Oryzias latipes: one gene and its partner. Each later gene encodes a partner of the first gene's protein in a complex. Links are inferred from orthologs where the notes say so. Each region holds a gene or a part of one and is shown in the gene's direction. Other genes may lie near its edges.

Region 1 (6,722 bases):
AAAATGAGTCCTTCTCTAAAGTTACTATAAACTGAGTTTAGTTTAGTTTTCAGTAGTATTTTATTAGTTTAGTACTATATAAAATATGAAAGTGTTTTTTATTTGTTTTTTTTTGGTCTGAGTGATCAGAAAGATGTTATTAAAATTCAGCAAACAGTTGAAAAACAATTCTTCTTCCAGGCAACCCAATCTACTGTAACTGTTACTTAAAGCCTCTCAAAGAGTGGGCGACCGCCAAAGGTGTGAAGCTGCTGGGCGCCTGCACTGAACCCCCACATCTGTCTGAGGAGCTGCTGCAGGAAGTGACCTCTTCGGATCTACGCTGTCATGGTGGGAGTCAAAGCCTGGGTGAGAAGGAGGAAGAGGAGGAGCAGAATAAGGAGGAAAACAAAGGAAACATCACAGCCACAGCCAAGCCCAAGCAGAGAGTCAAATGTCCTTCTAACTGTAAATGTGATGTAAGTTGTTTTTTTTTTCTCAGAATAACCTCTTGACAGTTTAATCATTTTACAAATACGTTTTTTCTTTTTTTATATTTGACTCATAGATTGAAACACATCATGCTACATGTGAAGGCCAGGGTCACACCAAAGTTCCCAGAGGCTTCCCAGCAAAGACGCAGCTCCTTGAACTCCGTGGAAACCACTTCCACTACCTTCCAGCCCTCAGCTTTCCAGGCACTGGGAAATTAGTTTCTCTTCACTTAGAGTCGTGTGGAATCCATGAAATTGAAGGTGGTGCCTTCCAGGGAATGAACAGCCTGCTTTATTTGTATCTCTCTGACAACAACCTCACATTGTTGGATCCAAAGATCTTTGCTGGAATCCAAAATCTCACCTATCTCCACCTGGAAGGGAACCAGCTGACACAGTTCCCTGGATCCGGTCAGTGTGAGCTCACTTTAAGTATTTTGTTACTACAGATAAAGAGAACTGACTGACATTCTGCTTCTGTGTCTCCTAACAGCTCTCTCTCTTTTACCAAATTTGTTTGTGTTACACCTGGAGCGTAACAATATTTCCAAACTAGAGCCTTCCGGTTTGCTATCTTCTGTAACTCCCACTGAACTGTCCTTGAGTAATAACAGCACAAATGTGATGGCCAGAGGTGCTCTCACCTCTGCTTCCATTGGATGTCTTTACCTGGATTCCAACCGGCTGACTGAGGTGCCGACTTCCGCTCTAACCAAAACCCCAAACTTGGAGGAGCTCAGCTTATCTCAAAATCCTATTTTGAGGGTTGGACGAAAGGCATTCCAGCCCATATCCCAAAGTCTGAAAAGGCTTTATATGGATCATATGGGAATGGAAAAGGTAGGAGATTCTAGTTCTCCAAGATCCTCTTTCATCCAAATGGAGTATTTGATTCAATCTTTAATTTTTCCAATTAGTTCATTTTAGACTGTGTGATTGGTTGGTATTTTGAATTTTTCCAGATGTCTGAAGATGCATTGCAGGACCTGGGCTCAGCTCTTAGACATCTGACTGTGAGGGGAAACCAGCTGAAGGAGCTGCCTGACCTGAGACCACTTACAGGCCTGGAAGGGGTGGACCTGCGAGACAACCCTCTGCTGTGCGACTGTGCTTTGCTGCCCCTACGCAGGTCAGTGAGGGTCCTTACCAGGGTGCTGGAATCAGAAAAGGGGAGTTTTCAACAATTATCAGAGCCCACAAATGTAACATTGTACGGTCAGTAAGCTCACATAACTTTTTTTGTGTTTTTGTGTACTATCTTTGTGTTTCAGGTGGATGGAGAGTGTGAGATTTGAAGTTACAGCGACTTGCGGTAACCCTCCTGACCTCAGAGGTCAGCAAGTCAGAGACATTAATGTCTTCGCATCCTGCTCAGAAAACGCCTCCATTAAGCAGGAGGGCAGCAGGGAGCCGAAACTTTCTACAATAACCAAACCAGGTTCTTTGAAGCCCCCCAAAGTGAAAACTAGACCTGCGAAGTCGAAACTAAGCAAATCATCTAAGAAAAGGTTACAAAAAAAATCTGGGACTCCAAAAAAGACCATGAACAAGATGGCATTATAATAAAATGAATCATGTTTTGGTGGTTTCTTTACAAAGAGTTTTGTTTGGGAAAAAGTTCAACTTTTTTGTTTTTTTATTAAAACTGCTTCATACAACATGTTGTGTGCACTATCTTCATATTTTGTAGGCAAAGCTACTCTAAACAACAGAATACAACTTTTCAAAAAATATTAAAAGTCACAAAATATATAAGTTTATTGATCCTGTTGGCCTCCTGTCCGGCCTTCGCGGATTCGGATGGTTCAGGACGTCCAAAAATGAAATGTGCAGTTGGGGAAACGAAAAGACACAAGAGTTTGCATGAATTCTCAAACCTTTTGCAAAAACGGAGAGTTGGAAAAACATGACCTGTTAGGCTCTGTGGCTGTCCGCTCTCTCTGTCCTCAAGGCAAAAAGGCGTTTTTTATTATTAAGTAAGGGAAGATGAAAACATACAAAATACGTCAGTAGAATGGTGTGTTTCTGTCTAGTCTGCATTGCAGCTGTTATGGCTCCATAAACACTCCAGTACAGAAAGAAAGCAGAGACTGCAAGTCAAAAACAGGCCTACTGGTGACCTCGTCACATATTATCTGCTACTGAGGGCAGGAATCAAGCATATTTGTGCAGTACAATATACATGCAAAAATAGAATCCATTATAATAACAAGAAAATACAACATATAATAGAACCCCTGTAATGCATATTTAAAAGAACATAGAAAATATTATGGAACCCCTGTTCACCTCAACAATCGTCAAACATTAAAGTGTCTGTCAATTATTTTATTTTCAAATAATAAATAGCACGGAACACAAAAAGTAGGCCTGTAAGTTAACTTAGCATTAAATCATTTACGGCAGGATGCTAATAATTTTTAAAACCCGTTATATTCACCGTTTTGATGAATGAAGAAGTTCCTGTTTTTAAATTTTTCTTTTTAAAGAAATTGTTAAGCTGCAAAAATGTAGTTAACCTGTTTAGTAGATAGAATTCTAACAATATTCGAATTGAACGTGTGATCGGTGTCTTGATGGTACCTTAATAATTCTTGGCTGTGGCTTCAACATGGTTCCATGGTGTAATGGTTAGCACTCTGGACTCTGAATCCAGCGATCCGAGTTCAAATCTCGGTGGGACCTGAGATTTTTCTTCCACCCTCGTCTATGGAATCACTTACTATCTTCTTTAAAGTTGTGCTTATTTATTAATTAATTTATTTAATTTTTAAATGAAATTCATGTTTTGGTTGTTATTTTATTTCGTCTTTCCCGTCTCAGTCGGTTAAGTTAATGAACTTAACCGACTGAGACTGTTGCTACATCCGGACGGCTTTGTACAGACGACGTTTCAAGATGGCAGCAGCGATGGACGTTGACACACCGAGTGGTGCTAACAGTGGCTCAAGCAAGAAACGCTTCGAAGTTAAAAAGGTCTGATTTTATTTATTACCTGGTCAACTCTGGATTGGTCAAACACGTTTGCTATATAAAAGAAGAACAAAGGAGCCCTGTCTGTTTTAACCTCCTCTAGCTGGTTAACGACTCCTATTAGCATGTTCGATGTTGCCTAGCATAAAGTTAGCTTGCTTAACGAAAATGAATGTGCATTTCTAAATAATGTCATAACTTAGACCATGTTGTGATATTTACAAGATTACCTTCAGTCGAGCGTAACAGAAAAACAGCGTTTTTGAAATGGTAACGAGAGCTATAATCTTAATTCTTTTAATATTTGTTTTATTTTTGTGCTATTCGGATGCTAATTTAGCTTAGCATAAAGCTGAGGTTTCAAGATCTAGCAGCACATCATCTTTTTCTCTAATTTTAAATTTTTGTTCGTGTATTTCACATGTTAACCGATTTCTTTAGATTATTGCTATAAAGTTTTATATATATATATATATATATATATATATATATATATATATATATATATATATATATATATATATATATATATATTCCCTTAAAAGTGCTTATCTGATTTGTGCACCTGACAGGTGCAATTTGATATATTTATCTTTACTGTAAAAGGAAGCACTAAATCTTTCCTGTCAACTATTTTTAAAATGGGGGGAAAAAAAGTGTCATGATGACCAAAAACAAGAAAATAATTCAGGAACATGTTCTTTATATCAGCCATGTCTATCAAAAATGGCAGGAAGGAAATGCTAATATTTTTGATTTCCCTAAAATGTTTTAACATTCCGATCAGTGGACATGTTTAACAACTATATTTTGTTTTCTTTTTGTAATTCCAGTTGCTTATTTCTTTCGATCCTTTCCATTCAAAGTATTACAAGACATTATGCTAGATATGGTTAAAAAAAAGTCTGGAAACGTTGGAACGTTCTAAAACATTTAACTGGTGTATATAATCCTGGGTAACATAGATTAAACATGTGCTCATCTGATTGTTCTGTCCCCCTCAGTGGAATGCTGTGGCGCTGTGGGCCTGGGACATTGTTGTGGATAACTGCGCCATCTGTAGAAACCACATCATGGATCTCTGTGAGTTCACTTTAATGCATTCTCTGATAGCTTCCTGTCTTCATTTTGACTTCAAACTTTTAGCAGAATGAGTACTTCTAAGCTTCTACAAGCCCTTCTTCTCCCAACAAGTTTAGATTTCTGTGACACGTTGCATGTTTTCTTGATCAGGCATAGAATGTCAAGCCAACCAAGCATCTGCAACCTCAGAGGAATGCACAGTAGCCTGGGGGGTCTGCAATGTAAGTTTCCAATTAAATTGATGGAAGACTCAGATTATCTGTGTGTTTTCTGGAAGATGAAATGATGGATACCAATATGAGCATTTAGAGCTAAAGCCCTTAACATTTCTAATTTCTTTTTCACCTGTTTGTCTTCTTTTAGCATGCATTCCATTTCCATTGTATTTCCCGCTGGTTGAAAACCAGACAAGTGTGTCCCCTTGATAACAGAGAGTGGGAGTTTCAGAAGTAAGTTTGATTGATGTCATGTAGTTTTATTGATTACATTTCTGAAAGTACGATTTTCTTTAAAGTTGTTGCTTTAGACATTGCTAAGCTGTTTGTCATGTTTTCACAGATATGGACATTGAGTCGGCCTGCCGCTCACTTCCTGCAAGAATCAATTTCACTGCTTCTTCAATCCCAGCGGCTTGTATTATTTTCCACACTTTTGTTTTAGTATGTTGTAATTAAATGGTGAGCTTGTAAGGTAAAAAGTTTGAAATAATAAATGGAAAAAAACTGGGAATTAACCTTTCATTTGTGTTTTTGTTTTTTTAATACAGTTGACTTTAAATCACATTGATGTTGACAGCGCAGTAACCCTCTTTAAGGACACGAATCTTCAGTGTAAATTAAATCACCACCAAAATGTTTGACTTCTCTTTACCATAGTTTATTGTGGAAGCTGTTAGAAAAATGAGTTTCATCTATTTGTTAAATTCCACACATGACAGAATACTTCCTAAAGACCCACTCTGATGAAAATCTTGTTTTCTGGTGTTTTCAACGTGCTCTAGTGCCTTTTTCTGATGAAGGGCATAAAAGAAAACTAAGCTCAAATTTACGTTCCAAAAATAACCTGCGATTAAAAAAAAAAAAAAGATTCCAATGAAAAATATCCACACAGACTGAAACGTAAACTGCGATAGTCAATGAGCGGTAATTCTATATTCAGATGAAAAAAAGAGCTTTGTGATGAGATTCATGTGGTGGGCAACAAGCGCCCCGCTTTACAACGGGGAGGGGATGGGGCGGGTTTGCTCCATGCCAACACTCCCGCCCACAACTCGGAGGTAAATTTCTAATGAACTGCTGCTGCTCTGCAGAAGCTGGCATGGATTAGGCATCATGAAAAGTTTTCACTTTAATAGAAGACAACCGTTAAAAGCTAGGGAATTTGACAGTTAAAGTACATTTATCAGTGCAAGTAGAAAAGAGGATTAAAGCTGTTTTCCATCAACATTTTTATTGTGAACTTTTCAACAGGAATATTAAAGTTATTTGCAGTTAGCCTTTCACAACAGCATGTACCAGCACCCACGCTTTGGAGTGCGGCCTCACAACCAGGAATTTCCTACTGAGTGTAGAATGGCTCTAGAAAGAGGCGTTGGTTCCATGCAGGAACTGTCCGAGCTGCTGTCGCAGGTTAAATCACAGCCGCGACCCATCAGAGAGGAGGGAGGGGCTTAGCTAAATACCAGGACTGACCCATAACCATCTGTTTGATTTGTTGATGTTGCTAACAAACTGAGGAAGATTTAAAAAAAAAAAAGAAACCAGTGAAAAACACTTTCCATCTTTCTGTTACATTTGCATCACTTTGACCTGCTCCCCTGATAGAACTAAACACACTGAGAAAATGTTGAAAAGCTTAATTTCACTCGCTCCTCCAAACATCATCTCCGTTTTGGTCCAGTCCACTTCTATGGCTGGGGGGGGGCTCCGAACTTGGAACTCAGCTTGGAAGCGAGAGCCATGATTTTGGGGTTGTTCTGATACTTGGAGATGTTTGCCGGATTCTGAGCCACATCCTGGAAGGCGGCCATCACCTCAGGGTCCTGGAGTCAGAAAGAAGTCAACCTCACTGGAGTGTTTCAGGAGTCACAAAAACTGAGCAGAAAACAGCTGCAGTTTTAATTTTCTCAGACTCTCCGTCAGTGTATTTTTAATACAAAGTTTAAATTGTGTTTCCTGTGTTTTGCACATTTAT
Region 2 (6,851 bases), on another chromosome or scaffold:
TGGAGGAGGTTCTGCCTTTGGTTAAAAAGACTGCGTGTGTCCGTGCGCAGACAGACGGCCTGAAGCGCGCTGAACCAGCTGGTAAAGACGCAGGTCAAAGTCATTTGAATCTATGGAAGAAAAAAAACAATGTAATGGTTTAACAGAGCTGAAAATCTATGAATTATTTTTTTTTCTGACGGAAAAATACTTTTTTTAGCTTCAGCCTTTTCCAGTTTTTGCTGTTTTGCGCCTCAGTGGGGCATCGGCACGCAGATCTGAACACCATGCAAGTCTCACGATGAACCTCGTTTAAGGTTCTTTTCTGCTTCATCAATTGACATCATGTCCCTGCCAGGCAACCTGCTCCTTCCTGATGCCGCGCAGTGTTGCCAGATAGATTCACAGCTATTTCATCCTTCTGCTGTGCTAGACCGCCCCGACTAGCGTGTCAACCGAACCTACGATGACTGTATTTTGCACTCTCTGTGTAAAACAGACTGATGAGCGCGGGGGAAAACAACTCTCAGCTGCAGAGGATATGAACAGGTGAACAGGTAGAAAGGGAAAGCAGGTAAAGAGGCGGGGGAGGGGCTTTGGCTTCAAACTGTCAGAGAGATGGAAACACGGGCATCAGATTCAGATGCAGCTCTCACTGCGGGAGTTGAAGAGAGACTTTCTCTGGGACAATCTCATGAACGCAAACATGGAAACATGATTACCATGTAGAACTCTTCAAAATAATAAACCTGATATCTCCACATTCTTCGTGTCTACCATGCATTGATGCACACAGACAACGCTCCATGTAGCGATCAGACCATAACTTTAGCTGGTAGCTCCGCCCACACGCGACAGCGGTATCAGGCTTTAAAGAAGACAATTTCTAAGAGGCGGGGCGGGGCGTTGCACACCCCCAACAACAGGTTAGATGACAGTGGCCAGTAGGCGTCTCTACCTGGTGCGTTCACGGAGCTTCAGTACATAAGAATCCAACAGCCGCACAGCCTAACGTAGTCCGCTATTATATATTCATGAGATATTCATGGCAACACTGTTCCCGCGGGGGTTTTTTTTTGCCGCCCGCTCCCGCCCACAGCACAATTCAAACCGCCCAATCCCACAAGATTTGCGTTGGGTCCCAGTGGGACCCAATCCCAATGCAACCATCATTGCTATCTCCGTGTGTCCGGCTGCTAGCAGTCCTAAGAAGCTGTGTACAATCATCAGGAGTGCACAGCCGTCACAAAGCCCTCTCCTCTGCCACTAACACAAAGCTACACTGCTCCTAGCATGAATCTCTTAGCAGCCGGACACACGGAGAAAGCACTGACGTCATCGCCCCACCTCCCCTCTGGAAATGCAAAGTCGAATTGAATTATGAGATACTATTCGCAAGGTGGATGTGAAAATGAAAATGCAATCCCCCTTTTTGAATTTTTGTTTTAATTATTACACAAAATAAGCGTTTTTTAAGTAAAAAAGGAAAAAGCACTTTGAAGTGTTGATTTTTCATTTTAATTTTGAGTCATTTGATGCAGTTACATTTAGAAAATGAAAAAGCATTTCTGTTAATCCATTTTAATTGTCAAATTAGACATTTCTAAATGACCTTTGCAACACATTTACCAAAGAACTTTTTGAAAATGATATGTCAAATACTATTCTCTATATCATTTTAATTAAGTGACAAAATATAAGCGGTGATGAATAAAAAAATGAAAAATCATTTTGTCAAATTGCTTTTTCATTTTAATTTTGAGTCAACAAATGCAGCTTCATTTTGAAAATGAAAAAGCATTTCTGGTTTTGACTTTTATTTTTTTAATTATGCTACACAATCGCTTCCATACAATAGGGCTATCTGGGTAAAGAAGAAATAGACAGACTTTAGTTTTTATCAGTTTCTGTTTGAACGTTTAACAAATTAAGTTGAAAGTGAGTAATAACAAAAAAAGTAAAATAAACTAACTCAAACTTTATTCAACTCATTCACAAACAGTACCCCCAGTATTGGGGGTAACGGAATACAAAGTTACAAATTACTGTATTTCTGCTGAGCAGAACCTCTGCTTAGCTTTTTCTCTGTGAAATCAAGGATTTCATAGAAATGAGGGGAGAGGATACCGCTTCTCTAAGTTACAGAGTGACTGTTGTATCTGGCTTTACAACTGCATTAAAATTTTGTTATTTCTTTTAAAGGCAGATAGATAAGGAGGCGACGGGGAGTTGACATGGGGGCTGTTCATAGACTGTTCAATTAAAATAATTTCAAATTATTTGATGAGTGCCCCCTGCTGTGGCATGTGAAATAAGCACTTGATGATTGTGATTAAAGAAGCAGACAGAAGGCTGTGGACCAAAACGGAACAATTGTGGACTCTACAAAAGTAAACAGATTGCCAGTCCATCTCTGGTGTCAATCATACAAATACATTTAAAAAGCAAAAGATCCCTTCGAGTTAAGGGGGTGGTGGGGGATTCCAGCAGATGTGGCTGTACTGACAGGTCTCAAAAGTGCAGTGGTGCTCTGAGAAGAAGGCTATTTACACAAAAAAATTCGCCCTTAAAATGGCTGGTCCAGTTTTTTCGGCCAGCAGTTGGACATGTCTTGAATGAGTGTAGCACAAGTAGAGGCACAGGGAGACAATTTAACTGAGAGTCAGTTCAAAGACAGAGCAAAATTCCACTTTTATTTTGGCAGTTCATTTCCGCTTATCAGCTAGTTCATTACATGTTAGCTAAATATTTAGTTTGGAGTTAAATATTTAGCTCCAAACTAAATAATTAGTAAAAAGCATAAATATTTGTAAAAAATAAAAACTAAAGGAATAAATAAAATAGTTTAAATAAATAGTTTAGATAAAAGAATTTAGACCAGATCCAAATATTTCCTTGCAAAATACATTTTTACTTTTATCAAATTTGATATATACAGTAATCATAAAATATATTAAGCTTTAGATAAAATATTTATATTCCTAAGTAAATTTTTAGTTAGTAAATGTAACACGTTTTAATAAAAAATTAATTAAGAGGTAAATATATGCATTTGAGAAATAAAACCTACATTTTTCTCAAAAAACAGGATAAAAAAACAAAAATGTTGCTGTTAATATTTGACTGTGTAACTTTCTAAATGGCATCCCGTAGAAACAATCCATGTTCCATGTTGTTGCTTTACGATTGGCTAAGCGTAGAAAGTAGGCGGGACAAGAAAAATGCAGGGACCAATAGAATTCCAGATCACCGCCTGACAACAAAAGTAAACAGACTTATTTTGATATGTCGGAAATCAGGCAGCTGCGGTACTTCTACTCTATAATGGATTTCGTCTCATTATAACCAAACCTGAATAGCAAAACTCAAATACTCTGAACGGCATTCTGAACGTTGTACTCAAGTTATTTTAAAAAGTTATAAAACGTCTGACTCTGTATCTTTTTTAATCATTTCGTTGTACGTTAAATCAACTACTAGCATGCTAGTCGTCAACTGTGATGTCGGCTAACGCAACAGAGCACAACACCCGGGAAAACAAGTGCAGTTGGTCGGCGGTAAGGTGTATATAAAATACAACCTTTAAATACATTCTTTACGTTTATGCCCTCTTTAAATCAGTCATCAATCGAATAGGCTGTCGTCCTCGGTCGCTAGCTGCTTTGCTTAATTCTCTTCCTGTTTATCGGTTCCGCTCTGTTTAAACCACGTTAAGGGATCAGCTCTAAGTCATGTTGGCACCGGGCAGATAAAAGCGATGAAACCCGAAGGTCAGCGTGTTGTCATGGCTGAGGACGGAGCAAAGAGTGCGGTCGGAGGACGCGCTGGCTCGTCAGACTGTCCCGGCCGACAGATCTTCAGGAGTTCAGCCCACTTTCGCAGCCTGCAGGACGGCCTGCTGTCGCTCAGACAGATGGGGATCCTGTTCGACGTCGTCCTGGTGGTGGAGGGTCGACCCATCCAAGCCCACCGCATCCTCCTGGCAGCCGCGTGCGATTATTTCAGGTAAACGATGCAGCAGTCAATCCTGTTTTTATTTGTTTTTATTTTCTATTTTGAGCTTTTCAGGGATGTTTAGTCGAATATTTCCCAAAAATTTTCTCTAAATCCATGTTAAACTACATTATAATTTTTTTATTGTCTATTACTCCTTCATAAACCAGATTTAGACTGATTCGTATTTATTACAGGCCAGTTCACTTAACCATTCACTTAAAGTAACCTAAAGTAAAGTATTTTTAAAGCTTTATTAATTAGGATAACTTTATTTGTACACCCAAAACAACAACAAACCAGAAAGTTAAAATAATGACATCTTTATTTTTGTGTCAGAATAAAAGCTTTTCTGTTTAATGATATTTCTTGAAATTACTCTTAACATAATCTGATAAATGATGTGTCAATCATCTCCCTCTACAGTAACACATGACCTTGTTGTACGCTGTTACTTCCTTAAGAATGCAAGCCTCTATTCTAACATGTCTGTTTTTGTTAATGGAGCAGTTTTCTGACTTGGAAAAATCCCCAGGAGTTTGCTTTGAGTCTGTGAACTCACAAGCTTTGCTGTTCATAAGTAGCTGTGTAATCCCAGTGTGAAAGTGGCCAAGACACAGTACTTTACTCCATCGGTTTATGCACAGACATTTTTAAAAAGACATTTCAAAGTTTAAAATGGTGCAGGGAAAAGAGAGAAAAAAGGATTCCGACGTGCTCTGTGCCTTCATGACTGGGTGACCTGGTTAAACCACGACTCTTGTTATAGGGGGATGTTTGCCGGAGGCCTCCGGGAAACGCAGCAGAAAGAGATTCTTATTCACGGAGTATCTCACATGGCCATGAAGAAACTACTCGACTACATCTACACTGCAGAGATTGAATTAGACCTGGATTGTGTCCAGGAAGTCCTGATAGCTGCCACCATGGTGCAGGTAGATTTGTCCAAACCAGTCATTCAAAAAAAACAGTTTGTTTTTATGAGTCGTATTTTTCTTTTTCTGTGTTTCAGCTTGAAAGTGTCATCGGCTTCTGCTGTGACTTCCTTTACTCCTGGCTGGATGACAGCAGCATTTTAGAGGTGCTCCAGCTTGCGGATCTCTTTGAGCTGCAGCAGTTGAAAGACCGAGTCCGCTCCTACATCCTCAACAACATTCAAACTTTGTCTCGAATGGATGTGTACCGAAAGCTCCCTGAAGAGGAGATCTTTAGAGCTCTGAGCAGTGACCAGCTTCAGGTGACCAGTGAAAACGAGGTGTACGAGGCGGCTCTTTATTTTCACTTTAGTCCTGAGGAGGTGGAAGCTGATAAGGTGCATCTGCAGGTCAGTCTCAAGGTGTGTTTTTTTTTCTTCATTCTTATTTGTTGTGAAGCATCTGCTTAACTTGAACTCAGTGAATCTGAACTCCTTTATCTGTTTTTTTGTCTTCAAGGACAACCTCAAGATGCTTGAAGCTGTGCGGTTCTGCCTCATTGAGAGACGAGTGTTGCAGAGACTGCACAGCAGGCTGGACCAGTGTCCTCTGAAGCAATCGGTCTCAGCTGCGCTGCGGTACCATGAGCAGGAATTGTGGCAGCCTGTCCTGCAGAGTCCTCTCACGCAGCCCCGCTCCACCCTCTACTGTATTCTGGGTTTTGGGGGGATGTTTAGCTCTACCTCCCTCACAGACAAGAAAAACCTGTTTCAGGTGTTCCACCCGAGCTGGGGGGAGTGGAGGACTCTGCCTTCAGCTCAGTCTCCCCGAATGTCTAACCAGGGGGTTGCTGTCCTGAACAATTTTGTTTATCTCATTGGAGGAGATAAGAACACCAATGGATTTCGTGCAGAAAACTGCTGCTGGAGGTGAGATTGTGTCTGGATATTTACAGCCATAACCATCCAGTTGTTTCTTGATGTGATTATTTTGGGGCTCCTTTTATCTTTTCAACTACTTATTGAAAATTGGAATTTAATTTTTTATTTTCATTTCTAATTTAGTTTATTTCCAAATATTGACAAGAGGTTAAATACAAAAAAAATGAACATGTATGTAGGCAATTCAGTTATAAATTATACCCCTATAATGATATAAATATCCCAATGCACAATATAATAAAGATGGAAATGTTGATACGCATCCTACGACAGACTGGCGACCTGTCCAGGATGTCCCCTGCCTTCGCTCACGAGTGGCCAGGATAGGCTCCAGCAGCCCCGTGAACCCGAAAGGGACAAAACGGGTTTAGAAGATGAATGAATGAATGTTGGTGGACAGTTTAATTAGAAGAACATAATAATTTCAACTATTATGCAAAAATGATAAATCCACCTCCTAAACTGAAAAGATTAATTTTTTGTATCTTTGTATTCTTGCATAAATAAGCTTTGTTGATGCCTCGTAGAGAACTCCATACATATGCATAGTTTAAAAAAAAGGTATTTTAAATTGTTTTTAAGAAACAGTGTATAATATATCAACATTTGCAGAAATCGAGTCACACTTTTTTTTTTTTGCTTTAGCTATAATGGACCGAACATTCCTTGCCTCACATTTTAAGCTACAGTGGATGCAAAAGTCATCTGAACTCCTTAGCTTTTCACAGCTTTTTTGATGATGTACTTGTCATTTACTCATATTTTTTAATTATTTGAACCAGCAGTGCTTAGCTGTATACTCCACAAATAAACATTTTCTGCTTTCCTAATGGATGGTTTGTTATTTCAGGATTTTATTGAGAGGCTTTTTAGCTTCCATCATTGCATCAGGATTTAAATTAAATTTTTTTGGTCCTTCTCCAAAGCAGGACTCATTTTATGGCACATCCTGTGTTCTTCTCTTAATTCTGCTGGCAGCTTTTGGAAAATATTTCACCATGAACTCTGTTGTAATTTCATTTTA

What was found.
Region 2: rbx1 (region 1) and klhl22 share a complex: the UniProt entries of both Homo sapiens proteins name them as parts of the BCR(KLHL22) E3 ubiquitin ligase complex. The link is inferred for Oryzias latipes from reciprocal best matches to the Homo sapiens genes RBX1 and KLHL22.

Annotation. Positions count from the first base shown.
Region 1 is NC_019866.2:19,408,167-19,414,888, reverse strand, and holds rbx1 (E3 ubiquitin-protein ligase RBX1), read left to right. Parts: upstream 1-3,135; 5' UTR 3,136-3,371; coding exon 3,372-3,449; intron 3,450-4,450; coding exon 4,451-4,529; intron 4,530-4,679; coding exon 4,680-4,750; intron 4,751-4,892; coding exon 4,893-4,978; intron 4,979-5,087; coding exon 5,088-5,100; 3' UTR 5,101-5,265; downstream 5,266-6,722. Other genes in the region: chondroadherin-like protein, read left to right, coding at 181-458, 548-884, 967-1,313, 1,436-1,602, 1,745-2,036; st13 (hsc70-interacting protein), read right to left, coding at 6,436-6,570. UniProt on the Homo sapiens protein: E3 ubiquitin ligase component of multiple cullin-RING-based E3 ubiquitin-protein ligase (CRLs) complexes which mediate the ubiquitination and subsequent proteasomal degradation of target proteins, including proteins involved in cell cycle progression, signal transduction, transcription and transcription-coupled nucleotide excision repair.
Region 2 is NC_019867.2:20,705,100-20,711,950, forward strand, and holds the start of klhl22 (kelch-like protein 22), read left to right. Parts: upstream 1-3,223; 5' UTR 3,224-3,479; coding exon 3,480-3,536; intron 3,537-3,694; coding exon 3,695-3,984; intron 3,985-4,741; coding exon 4,742-4,907; intron 4,908-4,984; coding exon 4,985-5,308; intron 5,309-5,405; coding exon 5,406-5,815; intron 5,816-6,851. UniProt on the Homo sapiens protein: Substrate-specific adapter of a BCR (BTB-CUL3-RBX1) E3 ubiquitin ligase complex required for chromosome alignment and localization of PLK1 at kinetochores.